4 linked regions of the Struthio camelus genome follow. The protein of the gene in region 1 interacts with the protein of each later gene in a pairwise test. Links are inferred from orthologs where the notes say so. Each region holds a gene or a part of one and is shown in the gene's direction. Other genes may lie near its edges.

What was found.
Region 2: the proteins of LNX1 (region 1) and AGTRAP interact in binary tests that used the Homo sapiens proteins (3 or more experiments, as listed by UniProt). The two-hybrid records come from large-scale screens. The link is inferred for Struthio camelus from reciprocal best matches to the Homo sapiens genes LNX1 and AGTRAP.
Region 3: the proteins of LNX1 (region 1) and TSSK3 interact in binary tests that used the Homo sapiens proteins (3 or more experiments, as listed by UniProt). The link is inferred for Struthio camelus from reciprocal best matches to the Homo sapiens genes LNX1 and TSSK3.
Region 4: the proteins of LNX1 (region 1) and BLVRA interact in a two-hybrid assay, tested with the Homo sapiens proteins (3 studies listed by BioGRID and IntAct). The link is inferred for Struthio camelus from reciprocal best matches to the Homo sapiens genes LNX1 and BLVRA.

The regions. Positions count from the first base shown.
Region 1 is NC_090945.1:57,112,051-57,119,095, forward strand, and holds the start of LNX1 (E3 ubiquitin-protein ligase LNX), read left to right. Parts: upstream 1-4,034; 5' UTR 4,035-4,277; intron 4,278-7,045.
Region 2 is NC_090962.1:6,801,867-6,809,422, forward strand, and holds the start of AGTRAP (type-1 angiotensin II receptor-associated protein), read left to right. Parts: upstream 1-4,548; 5' UTR 4,549-4,661; coding exon 4,662-4,688; intron 4,689-7,556. UniProt on the Homo sapiens protein: Appears to be a negative regulator of type-1 angiotensin II receptor-mediated signaling by regulating receptor internalization as well as mechanism of receptor desensitization such as phosphorylation.
Region 3 is NC_090964.1:8,520,007-8,525,865, reverse strand, and holds TSSK3 (testis-specific serine/threonine-protein kinase 3), read left to right. Parts: upstream 1-3,948; 5' UTR 3,949-4,001; coding exon 4,002-4,146; intron 4,147-4,585; coding exon 4,586-5,247; 3' UTR 5,248-5,350; downstream 5,351-5,859. Other genes in the region: KPNA6 (importin subunit alpha-7), read right to left, coding at 2,077-2,080. UniProt on the Homo sapiens protein: Serine/threonine protein kinase required for spermatid development and male fertility.
Region 4 is NC_090943.1:60,052,777-60,060,369, forward strand, and holds the start of BLVRA (biliverdin reductase A), read left to right. Parts: upstream 1-4,573; 5' UTR 4,574-4,811; intron 4,812-7,593. UniProt on the Homo sapiens protein: Reduces the gamma-methene bridge of the open tetrapyrrole, biliverdin IXalpha, to bilirubin with the concomitant oxidation of a NADH or NADPH cofactor. Does not reduce bilirubin IXbeta.

The DNA.
Region 1 (7,045 bases):
TACGTCTGTCAGTAAAGTTAAAGGACTGTGTTACATTTGCAAACATCAGAAAACCCTCAGTAATCATGTTCAAATTCTTCTTTTGTACCCCTGAAGTTTTACAGACTTGGGCTTTAATCCTGTGTACCTGCAAGTGAGGCTTTACCCTACTGATATACCTTAAAGAGAAGTGTTTGACTACTTTTTGCAGAAGGTAGATTCGCCAAATCGCATTAGATTGTAATTTTGAGAAACACGTTTGCATGTCTTGTACCATGTCCTTTTCATGAGGTAATATGAACTGTACTTAATGCTAAGTCTCCTTTCCACCGCTACAAAACAGATGTCTGTTATGTTTTAACGGCACCAAAATTAATTACTTGTATTTAGTTTTCCTCTTGTTTAGGAAAAAAACCCTTTCCTGACACACTGTAGAATACACACCAGACGGAGGCAGCTAGAGTTAACACTAAAAAATATTCATTTGTTTACAGGCATTCACCGTTCTCTTCGCTGGTAGGAGCTGCGGAGCCTTGCTGGTGACCACCGACACCTGAATCATCTGAAATAGCCCCTGAAATTTTTGGCTATTTCAGGGCTCCGGACCCCGCATGGCACCTTGGAAAGGAAAGATGAGTGTGTTGTCAGGGCTGGTTTAGACACGGTGCAGGGAGCAGCGGGCTGCTGGTAGCAGCGGGAGGTCAGCAGTAGGTCCTGCTGCCTGTTTTTCCTATGCCTAATTGTTGCACTGTCTTCAGGGGAGGGAGCAGTAAAAGGGAGCAGGGAATTGCAGGCACTTCCCTTGCCTGGCCGGCTCCAGGCAGGCTTACGATGCATTACTGAGGCCGAGCAGTCCAGACGGATGGGCAGGAGTGTCTCGGAGCAGCAGACCCAGTGGAAGTCCCTTGGCCACCCCTTTCTCGCAGACCCACACTGGCACCTCTCTGAAAAGTGGTGGCAGGATCCTGGGAAGCAAAAAGCTGCGGCATGGTAAGGGAGGGGTGGTAGCACGGCCTGTGAACCTTAGCAGAGTGGTGCGGATGGAAACGCGGCACAGGCAGTCCGTGCAGTGATGTGGCAAGAGAGAAACCAGGCTGTGGCTGAGTCCAGCTGCGCATAGTCCACACGTGTAGTTCCTGGATCCCTTTTTACCAATAGATTGGTTTAATTAGTTGGCGACTATGGAAATGCCTGCATAAACCTCAGTCTGGTTCAGTAGAAGTACTAAGGTGTGCACACCTCTACTTCTTGAGACCTCCTGGGTATCTTCTGTCTGGCTCAAATGTATGTTTCAAAACTTTTTTTTCTGTCAAATATAGAAAGTGACAGAGCTAATCCTCTTTCACTGTCCCTGGCTGTCAGAATAGCGTTAACTTGTACATTGGGAACCTCAGTTAGGTATTTTTACTTAGTATAAATTCAGTTCAAGCCTTCTAGTCGCTTGATTAGAAGCAATATATCTTAAGTATAGATTTTCTTTCATTATTTTATGGACTACATTCTTCAACTCAAAGATTCCTTAAGAAATTATAAATAGAAAAGATCCAATATTTTGTGCCCGTAATTCAACTTACTGTCATTGCTTTAAAAGGATCAAAGTGATATTTATGACTTTTTAGAAATAATTTTTTCTGAAGTGGAGGTAGGCCTGTACATTAAGTTCAAGCTCAAAATATGATATTGCTGGTGCACAGAAAAGCCTTGAAGTAAGCATTTTAAAGAAAATTGTGATTTTAAATTGAAATAAATATTGTATTGAACACAAAAGCATGCAGAACATGACATGAGACTTAGAAAACCGCAGCTGAGCTTCTGTTGATGTAAGTCAAAGGAGGCATACCTAGTCCCCCTTTCCCCAAGGATGTCTGTGGGAGGCCCAAGTCATGAATCTGGTTGTTGGGCATGAATCTAGTTGTTGAATCCTGACCAAAGTGTGGTTATAGCAAGTGATTCTTTGGCCAGCTTAGAAAATCCTGACCCTTTGTCTGCAAAAGACATTTTTAAGTAGCAGCATTTTGGCCTCCACAGCTGGTCTGTGCCTCAATGGAGAAGAACATTTCTTTAGTTCATTTTTCTCTTCAAAAACCCCATTCCAAATCAGCAGGATCATCTTCTGGTTCTGGTTAAAGCATCAGGCAAGGGAGTCAGGCTTTTACAGTCAAGCTTATGCAAACACGCTCACCCCTACGCGCCCTGTTTTCTTTGGTTATAAGGCTACTGCTGGTCACCCGCAGCTTTAGCAGGGCCGTGGGCCTGGTCCTAACTGTGTTTTAAATAGAACCAGCACAGCAGAGTTGTGATTTAATAGTTTATTAGCTGTATTTGTGGAACAGATGAGACCTTGGCTTGTGGTACCTGGCAAGTAGTGCAGGATGGATCAGCGAGCAATGTGCTTGGTAAGGAGTCTGCGCTTGGACAGTAGCCTTGTTTATACAGATTCAGTTCAGTGCCCACTTGAGTTAGCAGAAGTGTCTGACTTCAGAGTACTTAGCAAAGTCAAACTGTGGGATATTACATTTCACTTGTAAGACCTAAAACTAGCACCGTCAGTGAAGTAGATTAAGGTCTGGATGACGACATGAACCCCTGTCAGTGTGTGTAGCAGAGGTCATTCCCAGAGGACCACAGACACAAGTTAGAGCAGCTTACAGCCACCCGTCACCTTCTCTGCTCGGGAGCGTTTTTATAAGCATAATTTCAAAACTGTGCTGTCTGGACTGAATGCATAAACCACACTGAGCAGCCTTAAACCAGAGACTCAGTCTCAGGAGGAAAAGTGGGGGGTTTCTCTGGTAACAGAAAGCTACGTTAGCAGTCTCCATGCCAGGCTGTGGTGTGGAGGCAGTGTGTGAAAATGGCCACGGCCAGCTGGCAAGCGTGCTCTTGGGGCCATTTTTTTTTGTAATTTATCAAAAAAAATTTGTGTTTTTTAAGCACTGTGTACCATAGGACAGGAATTCAAGGCATGATTTAGAGTAGTCCCCATCTCCCTGATTTAGGGCTACCTTGAATTAACTTTTGGCACTCACCACTGGCCCTCTGGAGTCTCCAATGCCGGGAAGATGCAACCAGCCTTGCTGTACTTCCACCGTCTCCTTTATGCTGTTTTTCACTGGGAGGTACAGAGGACCATACTGAATGAGGCAATTCCCATTGCAAAAGCTACACTTTCAGAAGACCAGATTTCTGCTTGCAATGCAGTTATGATGGTTGAACAGTTCAGCTATGGAGCACAGACTGAACCAACTTTGTTTTTAGCTGTATTTCCAAATCATGCTAAATATGGTGGTTTTTTAATATATATGTATATATAAGTATATATAACAAAAATATATTTAAAAGTATACATAAATAATAATTTATTTCCACTGATGATCAAATTGAAGAGTCAGTTATAGCCCTCCGTAGTGTGTAATAATATTCAGAATACTTCTGGCAAGGCAGTGGCCTGGGATTCATTTAAAAATCAAGTTCTCCTTTAATAATAGACACATTTTTATTCACTGTGTTAGGCTCTGCAGTGTTTACTATAACCACATTGTTCTGGTTACTTGCCAGATCACTGAACCTATTGTTTCTCTTATACTTCCACATTAGGTTTACATACAGTGCCTGACTCTAAAGCAAAAAGTTTTAACAGGACACTGAGCCTTCTACTCCTTCTATTTGCCTCTGTAGTTCCAAATGTAATACACTTTATTTAATTCACTGTAACTGCTTCTCTGTTGATTGACCATTTATAATCCAGTGGAACCATAGCAATGACCTATGCTTTAAAATGAGAGTAATGGAGTATCCCCCTCACACAGAGTCAGCCCACCTTGAAAGCCCTGACATTACCACTACCCCACTGGATTAGAGGAGATGTGGTTTATATTAGTGGCCTGAAGAAGGTTCATGCCCTTTGGGAAAAGGTTGTTCCCTGGAATGGCAGTGTGATTAATGGTTTATTTACAACACTGACATCAAGGCTGTCAGGACTCTTCATCAGTCTTTGATGTAAAACACACTCCGAGGCCCTAGGTCATTCTTATCTGCTCAGAGAAGAGAAATCAGAAATGAAGAATGGGTGAGTGTGGCTTCAGTTCTGGTACTAATATTTTCCATAGTGGCAGCAACAGAAGAAAACTACAAGGTCACTTCTACTTCGCTGGACAAGCTGGTGGGACCATATCTGGTGGTATGGCTTCCTTTTTTTGTCTGGGGGGAGAGCAGTATGTACAACAGAGCAAGAGACTGCCGGTGACAGATACCACGGTGAGAACATACAGATACCTACATCAGATCCACAAGGAGGGGTAAGTGTTTCAGCACTGCACAGAGCTCAAAATAGGAACTGATGAATTTTCACTATGACATTTTTAGTAATTATTGTGTGGTACTCAGCACTATCATGTATGGACATTTCCAATTTTCAGAACTTCAGTATTTTAAGAAAGGCTTCCCACTGCTGAAAACTTTCTATATTTTCTTGCTGAATTGGCTAAGCCCAGTTTGATTTTTCTGAAAACCTCCTCAGAGCTGTGTGCTGGTGAATCCCACACAGCCCATGTTCTCGTGGGCTGGCTGATTAGTGAGATAATGCTGCAATAACGTCAGCCGTTCCTCTCAGCGCTTTGATGGCAACTGGCTTGTTGACATCCAGCACGTTTACATAGGCAGCCACCTTTTCTCCTGCCCAGTTCAACATCTGTGGTACAGGAGAGATTTGAAGCATAGACAGTATGCAATATGCCTACGGTACTTCAGTTCTACATTACCTTCACAGGGGATTTAAAAATAACTAAGATGCCTGAGAAGGTCTCCAGGGCCCAGTTAAAATAGTAACTGGATGAAAATCAGTTACTGAATCTGAGCCAGATAAGACTGAAAATAATGCTAGGGAGGAAGAAAACTATTTTGGAGAACCTCAACTTCCCTCTGTTAAGAGCTCTGGCATTTGTTTTATCAAAATGTTCCAAACCATTTGGCTTTGTGTGGGCTCCTCGTTATTTCTTGGTGCCTAAACAGCATGACCCTATGAGATAGTTCTTCTGTGCATGATATCCTGGCAGACTGCACTCCTTCTTGATGGGTTAGGGTTTACTGATAGCAATCTATGACTTGCAGGAATATGTCTAGCAATATGCCCATAAATCAAACTGCTCATCTTAACAAAACTCTAGTTCAAACACAGCAACGTGCTTGCTTGGCAGAGCTGGCTTCCGAGAGCGCGTTTTACTGGGGTTCACTTGGCTTCCTATAGAGTGCTGGATGGAAATTAGTGTATGCAGTGAGGACCACCCAAAGCAAATGATTTCCATTAGAACTAAACAAGTCCTTAAATGCAAGAGTGTAGGATGTTCGTGCAACGGGACACAGAGGTTTCTTGACAGTGGGTGCTACTTAAGATACTATCTTAAGGAGAGCAAAAAAAGCCCCACAATCTAGTAGTAAAAAAACCACATCCAAGTAAAATAATCAGGAAAAATGCAGAGGCAAATTAAATTCACACACAACAAAAGCAGACAAAACTAAACAAAGCTGTGCTTTCCTGTCCTAACTTTAATCCTCCAGAAGGCCTTTAGACATTGTAGTAGATGGCTTCTAGCCCACGTGTGAAGATCCTAACTACAGTGAGGCAAATGACTGTAATTAGCAGTCTGATTAATTTTACTTCCTGAAAGTGCAAAATGCAAGCACTTAACAGATTCATTATTTGACATTTCTTCAAAATTTCTTAGGGGAACAATTCTCAGCTCTGGACCATTTGCAAATATTTCATTCTCAGCATTTTACCTTTTTGCTGTTGGCTACTTGAACAGATTTTTCTTTCTAGGTTAGATGGCCCTTAGTTAGCCAAAAGCTTGTGTTGTTGTGAAGATCATTTGCAAGTACAAAACCTTAAGTGCCCAGCTCTGGTTAACTAGGTAAACTGATCAGCACTCAAATGTTTCCACTAGAATATTCCTAGGGAGTATGTACACACTCACACACATACACACGCACCAATGGCAAAAAAAATTTTAGATGTGAAAATTTCACACGCAGAAAATTCACATGAAAATTTTGCAGGAAAATGTAACTTTTTTTCCAGCTTTAGTCCTAAAAACTGGAAGTATTTCCATTTGATTAGTACAGTTGTGTGCATGGAACCCAAAACAAAAAGACTGAAGAAGATAGGAAAAAAATACATAGAAAATAAGTTTTTGTTGATAACTTTCCATGTTTCTCTCTACACACATTTCATGGAAGATTCTAGGTAATAGAAACTAATGTGGCTAATGAGTCACAACCAACAATCATACTCTCAATACACAGTATACATATATTTTGGTATTTTCCAGCTCCCGGAGAAAGTTTCATCATTTTGTCATTCTAAAACTTTCCCAGACCACTCCCTTTGTAAAATCTGTTAAAGGGCTTTTAGCTGGTTTGTGGTCAAGGCTCTGTGTCTCGTGCAGCATGTTAATCCCAAAATATGCTTCAGCAAGCTCAGAACAAAGTTGGGCTGTCCTCAGAACCCCCCTCCTCTTCTCCTCTCCCTTTCCCCATCTCCATATGGGAGTTTAAAAGCTTAAATTATTGAATGCTGCAGGGTTTGTTGTTGGCGACGAGCAGTTGCAATGTAGAAATCAGCAAGGGAAACCTGGCATTTCTGGCATCCATCCTGGGAACCACACAGGGCTTGCTGCCAGGTTTTTCTCCATCACGCTCTTCTTGCTGGAGCTACCTGAAGCTCATTCCCTGGCCATGCGTGTCTCTCCTGCTCCCCCCTGCACCAGCTGGAAAGGTCTTGGCTGCCCGTCTGCCTGCTGGAGGTAACATCTGCTTCCCAAGCTGCTCCGTGGCCATTTCCTACTCCACTTTGGTCAAGGTGAGCTGGGCTTGCAGCCTGGAGCTGTGGCGGTGGTGAGGGCTGGGAAGCTCAACTGCCCATCCCACCTCAGAGGCGGGCACTGCTGGTGCCCAGCAGTGGGAGGAGACCCCCCCCCCCCCCCCCGGCAGCTGAGAGGGCCACAGCAGAAGAGGATGACTGTCTGTCTAGCGCCTCGTGACACCTCCTGGTGCAGGGAGAGGCACTGGG
Region 2 (7,556 bases), on another chromosome or scaffold:
CCCCACCCAAACTCCTGCTCTGGAGTCACTGCTGTTAGCAGCCTCACAATAAATCCAAAGGGCATGCATCGTTCTGAGCCACTTCTCCAAGGGTGAGAGTCATTAGACATGGAAACGAGAGGACAGCGTGCTGATTTGACATAATTATCTCAGCAGCTGCCTGCTCTGTGAATGCAGCTGAATCTCAGGAATATTGCTGGCAGTTGCCAAAATGATGAGTGCAAGCAAGATAAGGAGGGGAAGCACAAATTAAAACACTTGGGAATCACTCTGTCTCAGGTCTGTAATAGTCTGCATTCATTTTAGCTTGGGGGTTGTCTTACTGAAACTGTCTCTCCTCCCCCCCCCCCCAGCTAATTACCCTGTTGTCAATCCACAGTGTGGAGAAGTGCTTCAGTTTCAAACCCATGCTATAATAAATTGTTCCAGTCCATGCCAGTCAGAGTTTCTACTGCATAAAGCCTGGAGAAAACATTGCTGTTCATGTGTTTTATCAGAAACAACGAGGGCTGTTGTTTTCTTGGAATGTTCTGAGTGATCACATGCACCCCTAAAACCCATTTCTGCTATCTCAATTCATTTTCTAGAGCGCCAGCAAATCTTGAAAAGTAGTCCCTCAATTACCTCTCAAAGCTCTAGTTAGATTTTAGAAAATCAGAAGAGCAGCTCTTCCCTGATGATATCAGAAAAGACTTTCATGTTTGTCAAGATCACACCTTAGTGTAACCCTCCCCACTCCTCAAATCATCTTGCCATAGACTGTTCTGCAGTGAAGCTGCAGGAGGAGGTTCCCCACCAGCATTACAAAATGCCTTCACTTTCCCCTCCAGTCCTAATGATAATGTTTCTGCTTGCTGATTTCCCACTGGGATCTCAGAGAGAGTTTGCAGAGCCAGGACAACTTCTGTATGTCCTTCCTCGCTTCTTATTCAGAAAGGCTCTATAGATAATACACGCATTTGTGCAGGGCGAGTGCCTTCATTGCTCTCAGCTCTCGAGACAAGGGCACAACTCAAAGATACCAGTGTCATCGGCAGTCTTCAGTTACCTTCAGATTAGAGCCTGAGTGAGGGACAAGAAGGGCAGAACTATGAGGGGTGAGCTTGTCTCAATCTCCACAGGCCAGATAGGGACAGCAGGGGCAACTGTATCAGCTCTGCTGCTGCCCTACAGAACTGCTGTAACTTTGTACATCAAAACTACAGTGTCCTGAAGACACAAAGGAAAGCACTTCTGCCTTCTTTGCCTCCTTTTTATGCTGTCACGAAGGGAGCCAGCTGTGTAATAGGTTTTTACCCACCCTGCAGAAGGCATATCACCAATATACTTGACGAACCAGCTATACAATGGATATTATATTAGTTGTACTCAGCTGAACTCACTTGACAAGTCTGCTACTCAGGAAAATCTCCATATCGTCTTTCCAGTCTCCTGGGTCATCTATTTCTCGCTGCAGGTCTTCTTCTTTATCTCGCTGCTTGTCTTTCGCACCATATTTATGTTGCTCTGAATTATCAAGCCTAGGGAAGGGAAAGAGGCAGCAGATTACACAGACAGACAATTTACAAGGTACAAGCAAAGCAAAGCAGAGATAAAAAACAATAAATCCCCCCGATCAGATAGGTGTGAGAGACGTGCAAATGCATAATGTCTGTCACAGTTCTCATTGTTTTCATATCCATGAGATCATGAAGACACTTCTGAGTCCCTCGAGTCCACGACATGCAAGCCCAGGATATAATAAGCAGGGCTGAATTAATTGCACAATACATTGATGAACAAAATGAAGTAAAGTGCTTTTATTGTACAAGGGGAAACGAATGCTTTGCATTAAACAGCAGTCACATCAATCCAAATTATGGCTCGCGCTGTATAAATGATAATGAGACTCTCTGTCTCACTCAGACTGAGTGAACACGTTGAAAGGAGCAAAGACGCCCACTTACTGCTGCATCTAAACAGTGCTTATACTTAAACTAGGCTGCAGCATGACAGTGGAATTTGTCTTTATAACAACATTATTCCTTTGCTAGATACCTGTCCTGGTGGAAGGGCATTCCTATTGCTGTTTTCACCCAAGCATTGAGGCAGCAATAAGGCTATTCAAAGTCTCTCTTTATCTTTTTTTTAGGTGCCACAACTTCTTTTTGCCATTTAGGGTAAAATACAGTCCTTGGCATCACTGGGAGCATTATTATTGATCCCATTTGACACCACTACTTCTGTGAGTGGAGGCAGGGCTTCCCTGCAAGGTACAGAAATGGAAAGAAAGTCACAGCTATTGGGGGATGTGGCAATAGATGAATTATTTTTCAGTCTTTCATCTGGTAAAGTGGTACAACTAGAGATTTTGGGTGCACTTTTACAGCTTTTTTTTCCTGCTGTTTAGCTGCTATGCAGCTAATCAGTTCTCTTCTGGCACTTCTGGTTACCATTTTCTGAGTTGATTCAGTTTGCCATTTAGTACTTTGTCTTGGGAAATCTCAGTGTGCTGTGTATTAGCAGTCAATGGGACTCAGTATGCAGTGAAGGACAGCCTGGATAGAGCTACATTCGTGCTTTGCCTGATGAACTGTGAACACAGGTTCAGCATTGCATCACTCATATGCATAATCTTGCACTGCACTGCTTGAACTAGAAATGGGATTGAACGATGATTCACATATTCAGCCTCTGCAATGAACTTCTGACTCCTTGCTCATTCCTCAGTGGCCCCATCTTTTCTGCTAGAATAAATAATGAGCACACCTGAATGACGACAAGAAAGCACCTGATCCAGTAATGCATTGTGGATGGACACGGCAGACAGGTAAAGTATACACTGGGCAAGGAAGGCAGGGTTTGAAAAGGAGTCAGCCCGGCTTCTTGGTGTTATTAGTTCCTTTGTCATACCTGGGGAAAAGAATGGTACTATGAACTGGGCAGGAATTCTAAAATGGGAATAGTCTTCTTTCAGAATGACAATGGAAGAATGCCTGTTTTGTACGAGGCAGCTCTCCCTTATTGGGATCAGAAAGGACTTTCAAGCGTGTCTGTCAAGAGCACACCTTAGTGTAATCCTCCCCACTCCCCAAATCCTCTTGGCATAGACTGTTCTGCTTTGAAGTTGCAGGAGGAGGAAATTGCATTAGGAAAGAATTCAGTGATCTAGTTCTAGGGAAAAATCAAAAGGGCCAAGGGATGCAACTAAGTATCTGCTAGCCATTCTAGCCACAGGGCTAGAGACTCAAGCACTCAACCCCAAAGGACAATCAAATTGAGTTGAACATGGCTGCTTTGTTGTATGATACAGCTGAGTGCAACAAACATCTTGCAATTTTTTTTTTGGTGGTGGTAGTGTTTAAGACCTCTTTTCCACTCCCCACACTTACTGTCTTTTGGTCACACTACTGATGTGTGCACAAGAGCTTTCTTTTCCTCCAGAAAGCTGCTAAGCACTAAATACACTTTAGCCTTTTGGGACCCTGACTACAGCCCAAATATGCTGTTACACCTTCCCACAGCTGCACTGCTTCTGTAAGTAGCAAGAGCTGTTTGCTTGGATGTTTGGCGTTAACAAACAAAGTGATCCCATTACCCTTCTAACCTAGTGATGGCTTTTTCTCCTCGGTGTTGCAGGTGCTGTGCAATACGTATCAGATAGCAGCAAATAAATTTAATGAAATAGGATGTCCTGGGAAAACGTCCCTGTTTTCTACTGTTTCGATTGTCCTAGATTCCTTAAGGTATGAGCACCACGGACTTTCCCTGACTACTAGTGTTAACAGCAGTACAGTTTTACATGTGAAAAGCCTGCAGAGTCATAGTGTCCCTGGAATACTTAAGTATGCCCTTTGCCACACATTCTGCTGAGATGAGAGCATCTGATGTATTTATTAAATGCCTTCATGATTAATGAAACTTGCTGTCTCTTTACTGGAAATGTCCTGGTTTTGCCGAGTCTCAGGCTAATTCAGTTAAGGCTCCTGCTCCTCAGACACCTTCCTCAAACTGCATGACAGCTCTGAGGTGAGGTGAAGCAGTCAGGAGAAACTGGACATTTTAAACTCCTATGGACACTACAGCATAGCCCAAATGCATATTCATGTTTGGCTTGCAAGTGAAGGTGGCCTACTCTGGAAGCTTTTCGGGCAACATCAATAACAGACAATGCACAAAGCAGGGCATGGAAACATCACTGCTGTCCTTGGAGTGCCCTGCAGGGCCCAGTCCCGCTCTCACACCACATCTTCACTTTCAAACCCAAACTTTTATTACTGCTAAAGGGCTGTCGCACCAGATAGCGCTGGGGATGGCAGTATCTCAGCTGAGGGTGTGCAAGGGGCGACTGAGAGGTCCCATTTCGCTGGCCGGGGCAGAGGGCACAGTTCATGGCAGGGCCTCGGCCTGCCATCCTCCTGACGTGAGGAAGGGCCGCCAGGGCCCAGGGAGCCCCCCGCAGGGGAAGTCTAGAGGGCCTGCAGTGGGCCTGGGGTCGGCCGGATGCTGACGGACGCCCCCGTCGGGCGAGGCGAGGCGAGGCGCCGTCCCGGCTCCTCCCGCCCCTCTGCCCTCCCCTGGGCGGCCCGAGACCAGCCCGTGGCGGCGGCGGGGCCCGGCCCAGCCCCACGTGAGGCGGCCCCGCCGCTGGGAGTCACGGGGCGAGCGGGCGGGCCGCTGCCATGGAGCTGCCTGCTGTCAGCCTCAAGGTAGGGGTCGCGGGGGCGTTGGGCAGAGCCAGTGCCGGCTGCCCCCCGCGGGGCAGGGTCGCCCCGGCCGAGGGGCGGTCTGCCCGCGCCGCGTCCCGCGTCTCCGAGCCCTGCACGCCCGGGAGGTGCCCAGGGCGGGCCGAGGGCCGGCGGAGGGCTCCGCAGTGAGGAGCGGGGAGGGCTGCGAGGGTCTCGGTTGAAGTCCTCGAATGGGAGGACTAGGGAGCTGGTTGGCGTCCCCGGAGAGCGGGCCATGGCCCGGCCTGCCTGGCCGATGGCCAGCTTTGTGCCCGCTTCAGGCTCGGTCAGGAGAAGTGGAAGTCTCCGTGTGGAGGAATAACTGGTACTTCTAAATCTTTTTCATCACCAGGGTAAACGTTGCAAAAACTCTTAGTCATTAAGACTGTCAGGCAGTGACCCCAAGGTTCACTTTTGCTTCAGGGCAGTTTGCTAAAGTGGCCAAGGACTGGGTTGGGACGACAACAACTGAACTAACTTGTGTCCACAGAGGTTCCTAGCTCAGCTGACCGGGGTTAATCTAGGATAAACACTACACAAGATCCTGAGGAGGCAAAGCTTTTGCTTGTCAGGCAAGATATCTTGGAAAGATGATCCCATTTGCTTCGGGGTTATCCTCTGGTAGATAACTGAAATTGCTTTTCTGGTTTCTTTTGGGGGGCAGGGAACGGAGGTAATTTGAATTTTTCACTGGATATCTGTTAACCAAAGGCATGGAAAATAAGGGACTTCTCAAAGGTATATTAGACTTTTCACTTTGGCAAGAAGTACATCCTTATCCATAAGCTAGGGGAGGCGAAAATCTTTTTTTTTTGCTTTTCATGTTGCTGTTTGAAATTGAAGCCTTCCCTGATACCACTCAGAAGAAAATTTCCTCCTTTTTTTCCTCCTTCTACCATATTTTCAGAGCTCTGAGACTTCTAGATGTGTACGTGCCTTTTTCCAGGTTCCCTAGTTTACATGTGTTGCTTGGTGCGGCAAGTTTCAGGGGCTTTCTTTGGTTATAACTTTGACCAAACGAAGACTGAAAGCATTGCTGATCTCATCTGTGGGGTTTTTTTTTTTTTCTTTTCTTTTTTTTCTGCTATTGATTCATAAAGCTGTGAGCAGTGGCCTTGGAGCTGGCTGCCTACAGGTGGGGAGAGCAGTACTGTCTCAGCTACCCTTAAGAATTCAACTTTGTATAACAAGACTTTAATGTGGCTGTTCAAAATGAAAGTTTGGAGTTCATATATTCATGGCTTTACACTCTTACTAGGTCACCAAGAAAAGCAATTTTCCTGGGGCAAGTAAGCAAATGGATTTTTCAAGGCTTGGCATGTAGATTATATTGCATTCTGGAAACCAACTGATATTTTGCTCTGGGAAATTTGGACTATTGGGTGATTCCCTGGGCACTAGGAAGATTAAAAGATCTTGTTTTCTGCTTTGTTTATAACTTGTTTCAGTTTTTTTTTTTTCTATGCTAAAACAACAGTGAAAAGCAAGGACATCTAATTAAAAGGTTTACCAATGAAATAAATGATTCACCACGGGAGACAGAGACACGGGAGCTGAAATACAGACATACTTCTTGAATGAAGGAGCCACCATGACAACATAACCAAAATGTTGCTTTTCCTCTGGTTTCATATAACCAGTCCCAAATCTCTTCCTAGATAAGAGCAAACTTGTCCTGGGCAAATGGTTTTCAGCATTAAGCAATTCCTTGTTTTAAAGTCTGCTGGTACTGGTCTGAGGGCTAGGGAGTAGTGGGTTAATAATTGTACCTGCATCTTTGTCTTGTCCCTGAGTTGGGGGCTGCTTCTCTGAAACAGATCGCCAAGATGGGGAAGGGCCTTATTCAGAAAGGGACTGAAAACAACACACACCACTGCTATTCATCAGAATGATCTGCTTAGAGTTTCTGAGAGATTAGAAAGATAAGCCTCATGATAGAAGTAGCTCCAAGAAAACGGTATGACTGAGCTGTGTTTGTGCCAGAACACAGCAATGTCTTAGCCTTAAGGCCTCTCTTCAGGCTACACGCAGAACTAAAAAATTGATGTAGCAGGCTTTTTCCTGGAGCAGATGAGGAACATTCTCATGGAAGAACATCTACTGGCTCAGCTCGCGTAGTAATAGTCAGCAAACTCAGAAGTTAGCTTTGCTTGTCATCTAGGTCAGCCTCCTGCTCCAAGCAAAGCTAACTTCTGAGTTAGATCAAATTGCTCAACTCAAAATTTAGCTCAGTTTTAAACATCTCCAAGGACAGAGCCTCTACAACTTCCCTGGATAGCCTGTTCCAGTGCCTAACCACTCTCATTATGAATTTTATCCTTGTATCCAGCTGAAATTTCCCTTGCTGTAACTGCTTTTTTTTTTGCCTCTTGTTCTTTCTTTGGGCATCTCTAAGAAGAATCTGGCTCAGTGTGCTCAACAAACATCCTTCAGGTTGTGGTTAGTCTGGGTATGAAACTGTGCACTATGGGATAATAATGAGAGGACCTAAGGAGTTCACTCACAAGTGGCCACTCGGATCTATTTTTGGGTTAGTGCATCCTCAGATGAATGTAAGCAATTCATAGAGTAGATGAGCTCACTTGCAAGAAAGAGGCAGATAATAAAAGAAAAGAATTGTCATTTGGAATCATGGCATTTTAATTTGGGCAAAATTCAACCTTATGCTTGAAGGTTCTGTGCTGAGGCATGTTTGAAAGAGGGAGGTCCCATTCCAAAGAATTTCCCATCCAACCGGAACCAGACAGACCAAGTGTCTTTTATGCTTGCCAATTAGTTCCATCACATGCTGGGATTTGTGGAGGAGCCAGGAATTCCCTTCAGCTCTCCTCAGTTTCCAATGGGATGCTT
Region 3 (5,859 bases), on another chromosome or scaffold:
ACTAGAAACAGCAGAAGGAAGTCAGAGGGCTGAGATCCCAACAAGCTTATCCTTCCCAACATGTGCTTTGCTACAGAAGCAACCAAACAGTACTGATTTCTGATGAGCAAGTTTGAGGTTGAGTCTCACTAGCACAACAGTTGAAAACCAAAAGGATGAAGGAATTAGTACTTTCACTATTACACTAGCCATTTTAATGATTGAGCTCCCCTTTACAAAGTTCATGTTTGCTCTCTGCTAAACACAAACAAACAAAGCAAACTAGCCAAATAACTAGTTAAACTAATCATCCATCAGCCACATAAGTTTTGGTTTAAGAACTGAGCATTATGCTCCATATGCAATAAAAACATTTAGACATGAATTTGCATAACAAATGAAGGAGAAGACCTGATGACCATTTCCAGTAACACTGGCAAGACCAATATCCTATAGCTACTTATAAAACACAACTGTATTCAACCTGCAACATACAAAGCAAAAGGGGCAATGCTGTCCTTCCACAATTTAGCTGCATTACCCCAAAACACAGATAAAGCAGCCTTGGTTTGTTAAAACAAATTAAAACAGTTATACTAGGATCACTCAGAGAAGGAAGAGTATTAAATTGTGGCTGTCAAGAAAAAAAGTCTGCTTGAAGCTCAAACATGAAACTGGGGAATGGGAGGGGAAAGGACAGGAGAGCTTCTTTGCATAAGCTTCCTCAGCTGTGGGTAACACACAGTTTTCAGACATTCACCAACAGGCCTGAGGACATTTTTCTACTCAAAGTTGCCAGTCAAGATCTTAAATCTCAAGCTATAAATTAAGTTTTAAAAGCTACTCTAGACTGGATAGTTCTGTAGCCACTGCATATGCAGACTTGCAGCCACTAACTTCTTCTGGAACATCACAAGAGGTGTTTGAAGAAGGAACAAGAGTTTCTAACAAGGTCATTTTGATCAAGCTGCATCCCACTATAAAGGGCATTTAAGACTTCTGAAAGCAGGTCTGGTCAAAAGATAATACTGCTGCTTAAAATTGATAACAAACTAGTCCTTACTTCACAGGGGAATCTTACTCTACTTTGTAAGGGATAAGCCTGCTGTAGGCTTGCCTTTTACATTCACCTCATCCATTCAACCCTGCCTTGCTACTTTAAGCCTCAAAAAAGTGACATTTCTGCTTCCTTGACTAGGGAGCCTCTGGCGCTACCTCAAAGACAACAAAAGAAGTCTTCTGTTATTGAAATGCCTTTTGAAGGACAACGTTCAGCTATGAACTATTTGTAGCTAACAAAAGATAGCTATCTGCTATCTCCCTGAACCCTTGCTTAACTATATTTAGTTAGGCTGCTTATGAATATACAAAGTCACCCACTATACTCGTTTCCTGCACAGCGTCGGGAGACTGTTTTGTCTACAGTGACATGCCGTACGGAGTCAGTGCTATCCGACAGCCTCTCCGCGTTTACGCTTACACGGCTGCTGGTGCTGCGTTAAACGCGAAGCGTTCACCCTCGATTTCCTACCACGACAAGGAACAGACGTAACCGCGTGCAAGGCGGGTGCTCACCCAGCTTAGGCCGGAATTACAACTTGCGAGTGAGGTTTGTGCAGCACGGAGAGAGGGAAAAACTGCAGGCTGCGGCGTTAGCGCAAGAGGCAGAAGGGCAGGCCCGGCGAAAGGAGCGGGGCGCCGCCAGCTCGCCCGCGGGCCGAGCGGCACAGCAGCAGCTCGGCCCGGCAAGTCCCGCTCCCTTACGGACTTCAGCATTTAAATCCCTCAGAGAGCACAGGCGCGCCAGCAGGCCCCAGACGCCGCGGCGAAGCTTCAGCAGCGGCAGCTCCCTTCAAAGGCCGCCGCCGCCGGCTCCGACCCCGAGGCAGAGGGGGCTCCCGCCCCAAAACCCCGAAAACTCACCTCAAAAACCACCGGCCCCTCCGGCGGGGCGGTCGCGCAGGTCCCCCCCCCCACACACACACCCCGGGAGCTGCCACCCCGCTGCCCGGCTACGAGCCGCCGGGACGGGACGGGCTGTGCTGCCCCCGGCCCGACCCGGCCTCCCCCCGCCTCAACCCCCGCGGCCGCCCTCACCCATCGCGGCTCCTCCGGCTGCGGCTCCCGAGCTGCGGCGGCCACAATATGGCGGGCAGCGACAGAGGGAGGGCGAGGGGAGAAGACGGCGAACGGCGGCCGCGAAGGGACAAACCTCCTCCAGCGCTGCGGGCGCCCCGCCCCTTAAAGGAGCGCCCCGCGCCGCAAGGGCGCCCCCAGCGGCCGGGGGCGGCAGCGCAGCACCAGCACCAGCACCAGCACCAGCACCAGCACCAGCACCAGCACCAGCACCGCCCCGTCCCGTCCCAACCCCCAAAACCCCGGTGGCGGGCAGCAGGCCAGGAGGAGAGGCGCCGAAACGCTCTAAGAAGTCCTTTTATTATAAAGTGCGTCGCCGATCCGCGTGTCCCGCGCTGCTCTCCCGCTCCGGGGCCGTTCGTGCCGCGCCGGCGCGGGGGCCGTTAGGTGGTGCGAGGCCGGCGGTTCCCACCCATGGCAATGAAAACGTCAATGGGGATGTTGGGCAGGGTCAGGCAGTGGCTCCCGGGGCATCGTCGCAGCTGCCTGCGGAGGGAGAGAGAGCAGGGTTAGCCCAGCGGCACGGCACGGCATGCCACAGCGTGGCACAGCATGACACGGCACGGCATGGCGTGGCAGAAAATGGCCCGGCATGGCCCAGCATGGCACGCCACAACACGGCACGGCACGGCATGGCACAGCACTGCATGCCATTGCTTGGGCTGCGTGGAGCAGCACGGCGCAGCATCGCGGGGCACGGCACAGCGTTGCACGGCACGGCACGGCACAGCGCACCTTGTCCCGAGAAAGCCCTCAGGCATGCAGGAAAGCGGGGGGCCAACCTGGCCCCCCCGCAGGACGGAGGGTCTCGGGCCGTTGGGGTGATGTTTTGGGGAGCAAAACAGCTGTGTTCGCCAAGGAGGGGACACGGAGGGGGCACAGCCCTTACCTTCCCGCGCTCTGCTGAGCGGCTACCGGCTCCTGCGTTTCGGGAGCCACGGCCAGGCCGGGAGAGTCGCCCGCCTCTATGGGAAACCTCCGAGCTTGCGGGGTCTCCTGGGAGTTCATGTCCGAGCCCTAGACCTGGGCGAGCGGAGAGGAGAGCGGGGGGGTTAGGGCAGGCGCGCGGGGCGGCAGCCGACCCCCCGGCCCCACGCTGCGGGGCGCTGGCCGGGCCCCGTGGCGCGTGCGGTGGCTCGGCGGCGTCCCTGCCTGAGCTGAGCGCGGTGGCGGCAGCGGGGCCAGGTGCTCTGTGACCCGCCGCGCGCCCCCGCATCACAATGCCGCCGGCACCCGCGCCACCGGGAAAACCCCCTGCTCCCCGCTTCCCCGGCTGGAAAAACTCGAGCTGGACGGAGAGGCGAGAGCAGGGGCCGGGTCCAGCGTGGGGTGCGTGGGCAACGCTCGGCCGCCCGGGGTCTTTCCCTGCGGGGCCACTGCCGGAGGTGGAGGATGCCGCCGAGGAGCGGAGCGTTTCCCGCGTGTCGCCTCCTGCTCCGAACCCCCCCGCCACCTCCCCAAATCCTGCCCTGGGGGGGAACAGAGCAGCAGGGACAGGACGCAGGGAGATCAGAGACAGCAAAAGGATGGGGAGCACCCGGAGGGCCCCCCAGCCCCGCACCCCGACCGCCACCTGCTCACGGCGCCTGCCAGGAGGTCGTTTCAGCGCAGCCCATCACCGCTGCCCCCGAGCCACTGCCCGTTCGGGCGCCCCTCCATCACCCGATTCACGCAGCGTCACCTGCATCACAATAGGACACGCGCATCTTAAAATGTCCCTAGGTGCCCCCTTTCCCGGGGGCTTTGCCCGGGCCGGGGACGCAGCGGCGCGGCGGCTGCAGCAGATGCCAGCCGGGGGCGCGGGCGGCCGCCGGGCGCTGGGATGCTCTCGCGGAGTTGCTGTGCGATGACCTGAGAGAACGGACGGGCCCGGTTTGCGAGAGGAGATGGAGGAGATTTTGCTCGTCAATGGCTACCAGTTGGGCAAGACCATTGGGGAGGGAACCTACTCCAAAGTGAAGGAGGCTTTCTCCAAAAAGCACCAGAAGAAAGTGGCTGTTAAAATTATTGATAAGAAGGAAGGTCCAGATGGTAAGAGATGACACCGGAGAGGACTCCAGGCTGAGGCTCGGTCTCTCCTTGGAGGCTTCTCGTTCTTGGCAGAAAACTAGTTTCCCAAACTTTCCTCCGAGGAGCAGGAGAGGAGGCAGCGTCTTGGGGGGCTCCAGCTGCCCCCGAGCTCCAGGGGGGTGGGAGAGCTCCCGCATTTCCCTGCTGCAGGCAGAAAGCACAGCCCGGGGCATCAGGCCGTGCTTCCCTGCGTCCCCGGTCCCTGCATCGCTCTGGGAGAAGCCCTGCAGGGATGCTCGGTGCAAGGCCATAAGGAATAGGGCCCCCGTGAAAGGACCTTCCCTCTCTCCACCCACCCCTTTGGCCAAGCCCTGGAGGGGTGACAGGAGCCAGCAGCTCAGGGACGAAGGGCCGTCCTCATCCCCGCAGTGCAAGCAAACCCCTCTTTCTCTCGCCGCAGAGTTTATCCAGAGATTCCTGCCCCGGGAGCTCCAGATCGTCCAGCGCTTGGACCACAAGAACATCATCCGTGTGTATGAGATGCTGGAGTCTGCCGAAGGGAAGATCTACCTGGTGATGGAGCTGGCGGAGGACGGGGACATCTTCGATTGCGTGCTGCACGAAGGGCCCCTGCCCGAGCGCCGCGCCAGGGCCCTCTTCCACCAGCTGGTCGAGGCCATCCGGTACTGCCACGGCTGTGGCGTGGCGCACCGCGACCTCAAGTGCGAGAACGCCTTGCTGCAGGGCTTCACCCTGAAGCTGACGGACTTCGGCTTTGCCAAGCTGCTGCCCAGGAACCGCAAGGAGCTGAGCCAGACCTTCTGCGGCAGCACGGCCTACGCGGCGCCCGAGGTGCTGCAGGGCGTCCCCCACGACAGCCGCAAGGGTGACGTCTGGAGCACGGGTGTCATCCTCTACGTGATGCTGTGCGCCAGCCTGCCCTTCGACGACACGGACATCCCCAAGATGCTGCGCCAGCAGCAGAAAGGGGTCTCCCTGCCAAGGCACCTGGGGGTCTCCGAGGAGTGCCAGGACCTCCTGAAAAGCCTCCTGGAGCCAGATATGATCCTGAGGCCTTCCATCGAGGAAGTCAGCTGGCACCCGTGGCTGACTAGCCCCTGAGAAGGGCTCGTCAATGCTGTCCCCAAATAAAGGGGACGGATTGCTTCTAAAACGCTGATACATTTTCACGTCAGTGTTTCCCACCCATCCATCCCGCGGGGGGCAGGCCAGGCCAGGCCTTGGCTGGCAGAGCCAAGATGATGGGTCTAGCCCATGCTCAGGCATTTCATCTGTTCACCCAAAGCCCCTGGCCTTCATGAGTTGAGAACAAGGCGTGCTTTATACGTGCTCCAAGGAGCTTTGAGCAGCGTTTGCCCACCTTCCCAAGACCATCTCAAGCACTGGCACGTCTCACACAGCCGGCGGATCCACGGCCGTGTGTCCCTGGCCACGAGCAGGGCGGGAAGCTTCACCCCAGCCCTTCCCCTGCCTGGCTAGCCACTACGGAGAAGATGCAGCCAAGGCACTAAGCCAAAGGACAGCCCAGCATGCCCTATCCCTCTCTTCCAGCATCCTCCCAACCAAGCGCATGTCCCTCGGCGGAGGTGGGAGGGAAAAGAAATCAAAACCAGTCCAAGAGACACAGACCCTCTGGGCAGCCCCCACCCTGCCGGCAGACGAAATGAGGACACCCAGTACAGGCAGCGACTCTGTAGAATTCCTTTAATTGCT
Region 4 (7,593 bases), on another chromosome or scaffold:
CACTGCTTTTCAGGTGTGCGATCGCCTTGAATGTAAACTCCCCCCCCCCCCCCGTCTCAGCCCCCTCGCTGCCCCTCCACCCCCGCTCCCCACAGCTCCCCTCCAGAGCTGGCCCCGCGGCCGCCATTTTGTGCAGCGCCGAGCGCGCCAAGGGAGGGGGCTGGGGCCCCGCCCTAACGGCCGTAACCGCCCTCACCGCGCCCCGGCCCCCGCTGCCCCCCCCCACTCACGGCGCGGCGGTCGACAGAAGGGCTCACGCGTGGGCCGTGGGAGCCGCCATTGCCGCGGGCTCCGACGCCGCCAGGGGGCGCTGCAGGGCGGCGCGGAGGGAAGGGGAGGGCCGGCCGGCGGGAAGGTGGCTGCCGCGGCGGCCACCGCCCCGCCGGCCCTGGCTCCTTCTGTGTTTAAACTAAGGGGATATTTTTCCTAGGGTCCTGCTCCTCGGGGGCTGGGCTGGGGGTTTCCTCGGTCCGTGCCTCGCCCGTTCGCTGCGGCCGGAGGAGGGTGGCCTTGGCCCTGGTGATGAAATGAGTGGGGGCTGCGGCTTGAGTGGGCTCCTTGCTTTCTCGGGGGGGGGGGTGGTGATCTGCGGAAAAGGGTTTTTCTGTTGCCTGTGACTATCTGGTTAAAACACTGTAAGTTTGCTTTGTTTTTCCTCAGTTGCCTTGTGCTATTCAAGGGCAGCAGGGTATAATACTTGCTGGCAAGGAGAGTTAGCAGCGGAGAGTCTTGCAAGCCTGTGTAGAGACAGCTGCGCCTTTCGGCCAACTTCCGCGGCAAAGTGCAGGCTGCTGTGTATCCAAAATCCTGCCTGTTCAGAAACAATAATCCAAAACACAAACTTCCTACCTTGTTCTGGAAGTCATTCTTTTTTTGTGCTACTTTATTATTTTTCCAGGGCAAGCCCCAAAACGGAATATTTTAAAAAGCCACCCGTACGCGTTAGAGTAAAATAAACAGTTTCGGTAAGCATCTTTTCAGCAGTCGAGAGAGACTTGGGTTTGAATTTTAGATCCTGCCTGGGAACTGATTCCACAAAGAGATAGGCGTGTTTAATTTAATTACCGCTCTCTTCTGCTTATCTTTTCACTCTAAATAATCCCCCATCGTTGTACCGCATAACCTGGTGTCACTCACTCTTGGAGCGTATTTAGTAGGCTTTCTAGCGGTGTAACTGAGATCAGCGTTTAGGCTTGAGCGTTCAGTAAAGTGTATGTGAATGTTACCAGATTACAAGGTCCTGAGTACCAGGCTCACAGAACCCTTGATTCATCTGAAATTAAAATGACGACTGTCCCAATTTGAGAGTGTCCTCTGCTGCTATTTCTTACTACAGCATACATGCTTGGCTATTTATTGTATGAGCTTCCTGGCGGAGAGAAGTTGAACCAAACGTTTCTCAGTTTGTTTTCTTATCCAAGTAGTTTCCAACTTCTTATTTACACTTTTGGCTTGTGATTGTAACTTCTGTTTCTGCCATTGTGTTTTAGTGGGAATACTGTCTGCTTATGGAGTTCTTCCAAATATAACTGTTTTTTCCCTTGTAGAGCTTCCAGTGGTTGCCAATGAAGTCCTGTCATCAGAGTGATTACGTTATTTTGCATTGCTTTGTTGCTCCTAGCGAAATCAAAAAGTGAGAGACTGCTAGGTTATAGTTGAAGTTAATTAATACATCAGCTACTTGCTAGGACTTGTAATGCTTGTGGGACTGGGGAAGGTGAGAGTGGGGAGAAACAAGACATGAAAAGACAACCAGTAAAACGAGACAAAAAGATGTGAAGATATGGCAAAAAATGACAAGGAGAAATACAGCACAACTGGAAGGAACTGGAGGCAGCTAATTCTAATGGGAACTCCTCCGATGCTCATGCAGATAAGCCCTGTTAAAAGGCTGTTTTGTATACAAAGTCACATAGGGTTTTTTTAACCTCTTTCCCTCCTCCTCCCTCACTACTAACATCCTTTCGCTGTGGGGACCAGCCACGTTTACCTTCAGAGGTCGTCCAACTCTTACACATCTAACTAGTCTCTCTGAAAAACGGTTTTCAATTTGTGTTTCACTTGAAAATCTGTTTTATATGTTTCACACCTGAAGAAGGATTTTGTGCCAAAAGCTTGTCTATAGTTCCCAGCTATGCCTAAGTAAGCCTAACCACCCCTACAGGCCTTGTCCTTGTTATTTAGCAATGATGAAAGCTATACAGCAACCATGAAATTTTGGTGAAGTTTTATTAGTATTGAAAGCTACTCATTATTTATAGATACTCTATATTAATTTCCATCTGGAAAGAGGAACAGACTCTTTAAGGCATCTATATACCACGGAGCTGTGTGCTGCTGCTTCCAAGGTCTGTGTTTCCCCCTCACCACTGCTGCCGCGCTGGGGATCCCAGCTTCTCCTGCCATGCCGGCTGCCCCCTCCTTGGCCACAAATGCCTGCCCCAACGCTCATTTCTCATTCCACCTCTTTGAAGGAGCAGCCCCTCAACCCCTTTGAACTTCCCTAGGTCTACAGTGCAATTAAGTGTTTGATTTATGACTTAGGCACCCGAGTAAATAAACAAACCTAGGGCAAAGAGCGAGCTCGAAGCTGTATACTGGGGATCAGACTGAAAGTAGTGGTGCCAAAAAATATAGTTACCTGATCAGTTTTACCTAACCTAAATCTGCAGTGCGCTTGTGTTGGAAAGAGGTAACTGTGCTCTGCTTTAGCTGTGTGTTGCCACTCCCACCCTTGTTTTGGGAGCTGATCCATCTGGAAAGTAGGGGGGTTTATGTTTTCGTTTTGTTTTGTTTTTTTCTTTTTTCTGAGGTTAATTATGAGATCAAACAGGTCCAGGATCCTGTTGAACATATATCGCTGTACAAATGCTAGCACTATTACTGAATCCAAAGACTCGGAGCTACAGCTGCTTCTAATCCATCCCATATGCATTATTTCAGACATTATGCCATTCGTTATGATTTCCTATCATGTGCTAATTGATTCATTCCTTTATGCTAAGTATATAGTCATGTGCTAGTCACTAGCAGCCCCACATGTTGAAATCATGTTATATATCTTTAAATGCTATATCTCCTGGTCAGCGAGTCCTGCTTTAGCTATTACCGTGCATACCTGTTACAGGCCTTCATTCTTTCTTTGCTGCACTTTAAGCTTCCTGCTTGTTAGTCTAGGATGTAGTTCCTTAGTCATACTCTGAAGCTCCTTGTTACTGCAGTTGTGCAACTACTGTAATTAGAGCTGTTGTTCTGTGTATCTGTGCTTTAGCCTATGGTGCTATTAAGAGTTTGAGAGGGGGAGGAGAGAATTTTGAAACATCCTGTAACATATTTGAAACATCCAGGGTAGTAGTGTCAGTATAAAAGCTGTGTTCAGATTAAGTCATGTTGGACCACGGAAGTTTTGCCTGACTTAGAACTCCGTATCTGGCTCAGAAAACATGACTCCAGAAAAGCAAACGTACCCAGGAGACTGAGTTCCTGAGTACTTGCTGGTAAGGAAATTAACTAATCAGAAGAAATGAATGGGAAAAGATGAAAAGAAAGATGTATCACATATCCTTTTGATCCCTTCCTACAGAATTTCAGAATAAAGAGTTTAAGGAATCTAGAGCTGTGCTGATTTTTTTTTTAAGCTTTATAGGAAGAAGGCAGATTACTATTTATGCCATTACTACTTACGCATAGCAAGTCCCAAAATTTACCAGAAATACAATGAATTGAACACACTCGGGTGCAAAAAAATACTGCTGCTGATTTCTCCAGTTATTTCTACATGACATCTGAGATGAATGTTTACAGAATTTGATCCTTTGTACCTGTAGTCCTAATGTGACACAGTTTGAGGTGCTATACTAGCCTGCAAATGCCCAGCATCGGCGCAGTGTAGACTGGTCTGTGGAATTCAGACTATCCCGGCTGCACGCGCTGTTCATTGCAGGAACTACAAGCTACAGGGAAAATAGCTGCACCCTCCCAGGCTTTTATCTTCCCAGCCCTGAATGAACCAGCTGAAAGCACTGCTGTATGAAGATAAGACACGCACGTGCGGAAACTAGTGAAGAGGCTAGGAGTAAGATCTGGTAAAAAGTGGCTCTCTAAGGAAAAGCTAGGGCTTAAGCACAGTGTGGTGTTGTGGGCCAGGAAGCAATTTCTGTAGAAATGGGGAGAAGTAATCTTGAGTAAGAGCTTGCATAACCTGGACTGCGCTGTCCCTACAGCTGCTTCCTGTACGTAGGCTGCCAGGGCAAAGCCAGACACAGATTGGCGTGTTTGCTTTCCCGCAGGGGAGGCTACCCCAGGCTTGGCGCTGCTGAAACTCCTGCTCCCCCAAGCAAGGACTCAGCCTGTAGCAAAGCCTACAGATGCAGCCGGGTGGGCGCATAGGAGGCTGACGTACTAGCCTCCACAGCCCAGTGCACAGCTGGGCTCCTCTGGATAACGCCTGGCTGGGAGAAACCCCACTGCGGAGGGTTAATCAGGTCCTTGCCCCGGGCACCAGGGAGGTGATGCCGCCTGCTAGCCAGGTGTGGCTTTCTTCGGGTTTCCTAGGTGAGGTGATATCTCCCAGGCTCAGTGCCTATAGCAGCCTTTCTGCTGCTATGGCTGCTCCTGGCTATAGCCCGCCCCTGTAGTGTCCTTATTGGATTCCTGGCCAAGGGGGTGTTGCTGCACTGATAGCAGCCCTAGTAGCAGCAGGGAGAGCAGCACATTGATATGCTGGAGCTGCTGAGTGTTGTATAAGAAGGAGCTGCAGGGAGTGGAGGCGAATTAAACAGGATCACGTTTCTCCTCTGTGAACTGAAGAGGTTAGTGACTATTACTTAATCCCTGCTAACAGTAATTAGGATTTGGAAGCACCGCTTTAGTCTTCTGACCGCCTCCACCCTTCCCAAGATTGCTTGCCACCAGTGTCCCCCCCCCCCCCCCCGCTGTTGTGAAGGGGTGGGGGAGTCTAGCAAGTCTTTGCATAGGTGCTACCCTAGTTGCTCTAAAGACAGAGACACCCACCAGAGTAGAGGAGACAGGCCAAACTTGAGAGGGGCTTTAAAAAAAAAGAGGGAGAAAGAAAAACAAACAAAAAAACCCAGAAAAAACGTTTGGTTGGAAATATGTCAGAGGTGCCCTGTGTTGAAGTAGAGTGTTAGCTCATAAATGATATGAAAATAACCAAGTAGTATCAGGAGGTGGCCAGAGCTCTGCATGGTGAGATAGTGAGAGGTCATTCAAAACCTTTTGTACGTAGTGTCTTCTGGGCATGTTTTTGGACCTGCAGAGCTTCCTGCAAATCCTGTTAAAAACCATGGCTATTGTGGGTGTTTGAGACCCTATTTCTGAAAAATAGACCACTAACCTTGCTGTACCTCATTTTACCCATGTGTAAAGCATAGATGATAGTATTTTCCTATTGCAAAGGAATGTGGTGCGGCTTGTGAGATGCTGAAATATTCCAGATGGCCCTTGGTGGGAGAGAGATGATTCTTATGTTCTCAGATACAGTGTAGAATCCATGTGTAAAATACATTGACACTTTATTGATACTACTTTATGCTGTAGTCACAGTTACCACTTATATCTAACTATCTTAGAAAACATAAATCATGGCTCAGTGGTTGCTTCCAGTCTACGCACAATGAAAGATAGGCTCAGCCTTCATGTAGCCTTTTCCTGGCATCATGCTATACTTCTGTATTGGAGGTTGTTCAAAAAAACAAGCTAGTTAATGTTAATTAGGACAGCAGCTTATTGAAGTGTTTTTTGGCAAAATAACTTATCAGGTATCAGGGGCAATAGAACATGATAATGTAGTGCATCAGCAGACTCCTTGCATTGGTTTGCCAAATTAGTTTTCATTTAATGAAGACAGTCATTCAGCTGTTGATCCTCTAATCACAGATGCTAGCAGAGAACAACACAATGCCAAAAACTGATTTCATAGCGTTTGAGCATCTTTCTGTGGTCTGTGCCAGTAAATGAGAAAATACAGAAATCTTTTTTAATGATATGAATCCATTGTAAAGTTTTAGTTTTCACAAACTGCAGAGCAACTGACAAATGTTTAAACTTATATTCAGAGAAGTAATGAGCGATCAGCCTAGCTAATGAAGTTTCCAGCTTGGAATAAAAATATTCTTCACAGATTTTTGTGCCAAGAACTAGTAGTATTTTCTAAACAAATACTAATTTTAGTTCACTAGCTTGCCTAATGTTGTATTTCTTTCATCTCACTAGTATTGGAAATTGTATCATTTCCATTGTTAAACTTCCCTTCTACTTGAGGGCTGATGTAACCTTGTCCTGTTAATTTTCACATGCACATGGTTAATAGACTTCTTTCTCATACTAACCTCATAGTTTCTTTAGAAAGTCAGTTGAGCTGTGGTTTGGAAGCATCTGGAGTTCAGATCAAAGAAGTGTGGCACGTGTTATTCTTAAAGAACGGGCAATACTTATTTTGTGTGGCTAAAACGGAGAATCTTTTCTTCCTAGTTTTCAAACTCAGTTTTAGTGAAGAACGTCTACAGTATCCACTAACTTCAGAAAGTAAGCTCAGCGTATGAGAATAAGATGAGCAAAAAGCCAGCTTGATCTTTGTTCCTTTTCACAACTGAATATGCACCGTCCATGTTGAAAAAAACAAAGATGAATGGAGAAATGAACTGACCAATTCCTGAATTAAAACTGGAATTGCTTCCTCTCTTGCACTGGGGCGTCAAAATTTCAGTAAAATGCAGGCGTGAAAAGCACATTGACGTCTGTGCATTTTAATGATACCTCTCAGTCACCACAGGTGCATATGGCTCGTAGAGAGCATGTTACGCCTTGCGTTCCTCTGCACAGATTTGCTGTAGAAGCTTCAATAATTATCTGTTAGCCCCAAAGTAGTCCATTAAAGTACTATTTGTGCTGCCCTCCTTGGCCAGGTAAACAGCAGTCAGAAAATAGATTAAAAACAAAGCATTGTTGGAAATAAGTGAAGAAACTAACAGAAAGGGCTGCGATATGTATCTGCAGTGGGACAACAACCCCCCAGGCAAGGAGTTCCTTGAAGCACAGCGGTACAGCAACATTGACATATATGGGACCAGGAACGGCCCTTTCACTTCTGATTTTCAGGAACTGTATCCTTCTGAAGCTTTCAGTTAGTGCTCAGTGTAGAAAGAGAACTTGCTCAATAAAGTACACTAGAAGCATAATGTAAGGAGTTAAAATGGTTGCTTCATTGATAGGGGTGGGAATGGGGCTTACGGAAAAAAAAAAAACAGACTTGAAAGCTAAGGCACTTAGCAACTTAATCCTGTGGTAAAAGTATTGAGTGTATACATGCCCAGTTTTAATTTAGGAGATCAAAGGTTGTTGAGGGCCTAGCCCCCTCCTATGGAGCTGGCCTTAAACCATGAAGTGTTCTCATGCACACGGGGCCGAACTGGTGGGCCTACATCTTGAAACTTCATAAAGTAAGTGCAATATATGGTTGGCCTTCTCAACTAAGCAAAAAGAGGTTTGGCTCTTTGTTTAACTGAACTTAAACGTTTCCTACCAACATTTGCAACCCAGACAGAGATCTACTGTGCTAATTAGGAAGAATTT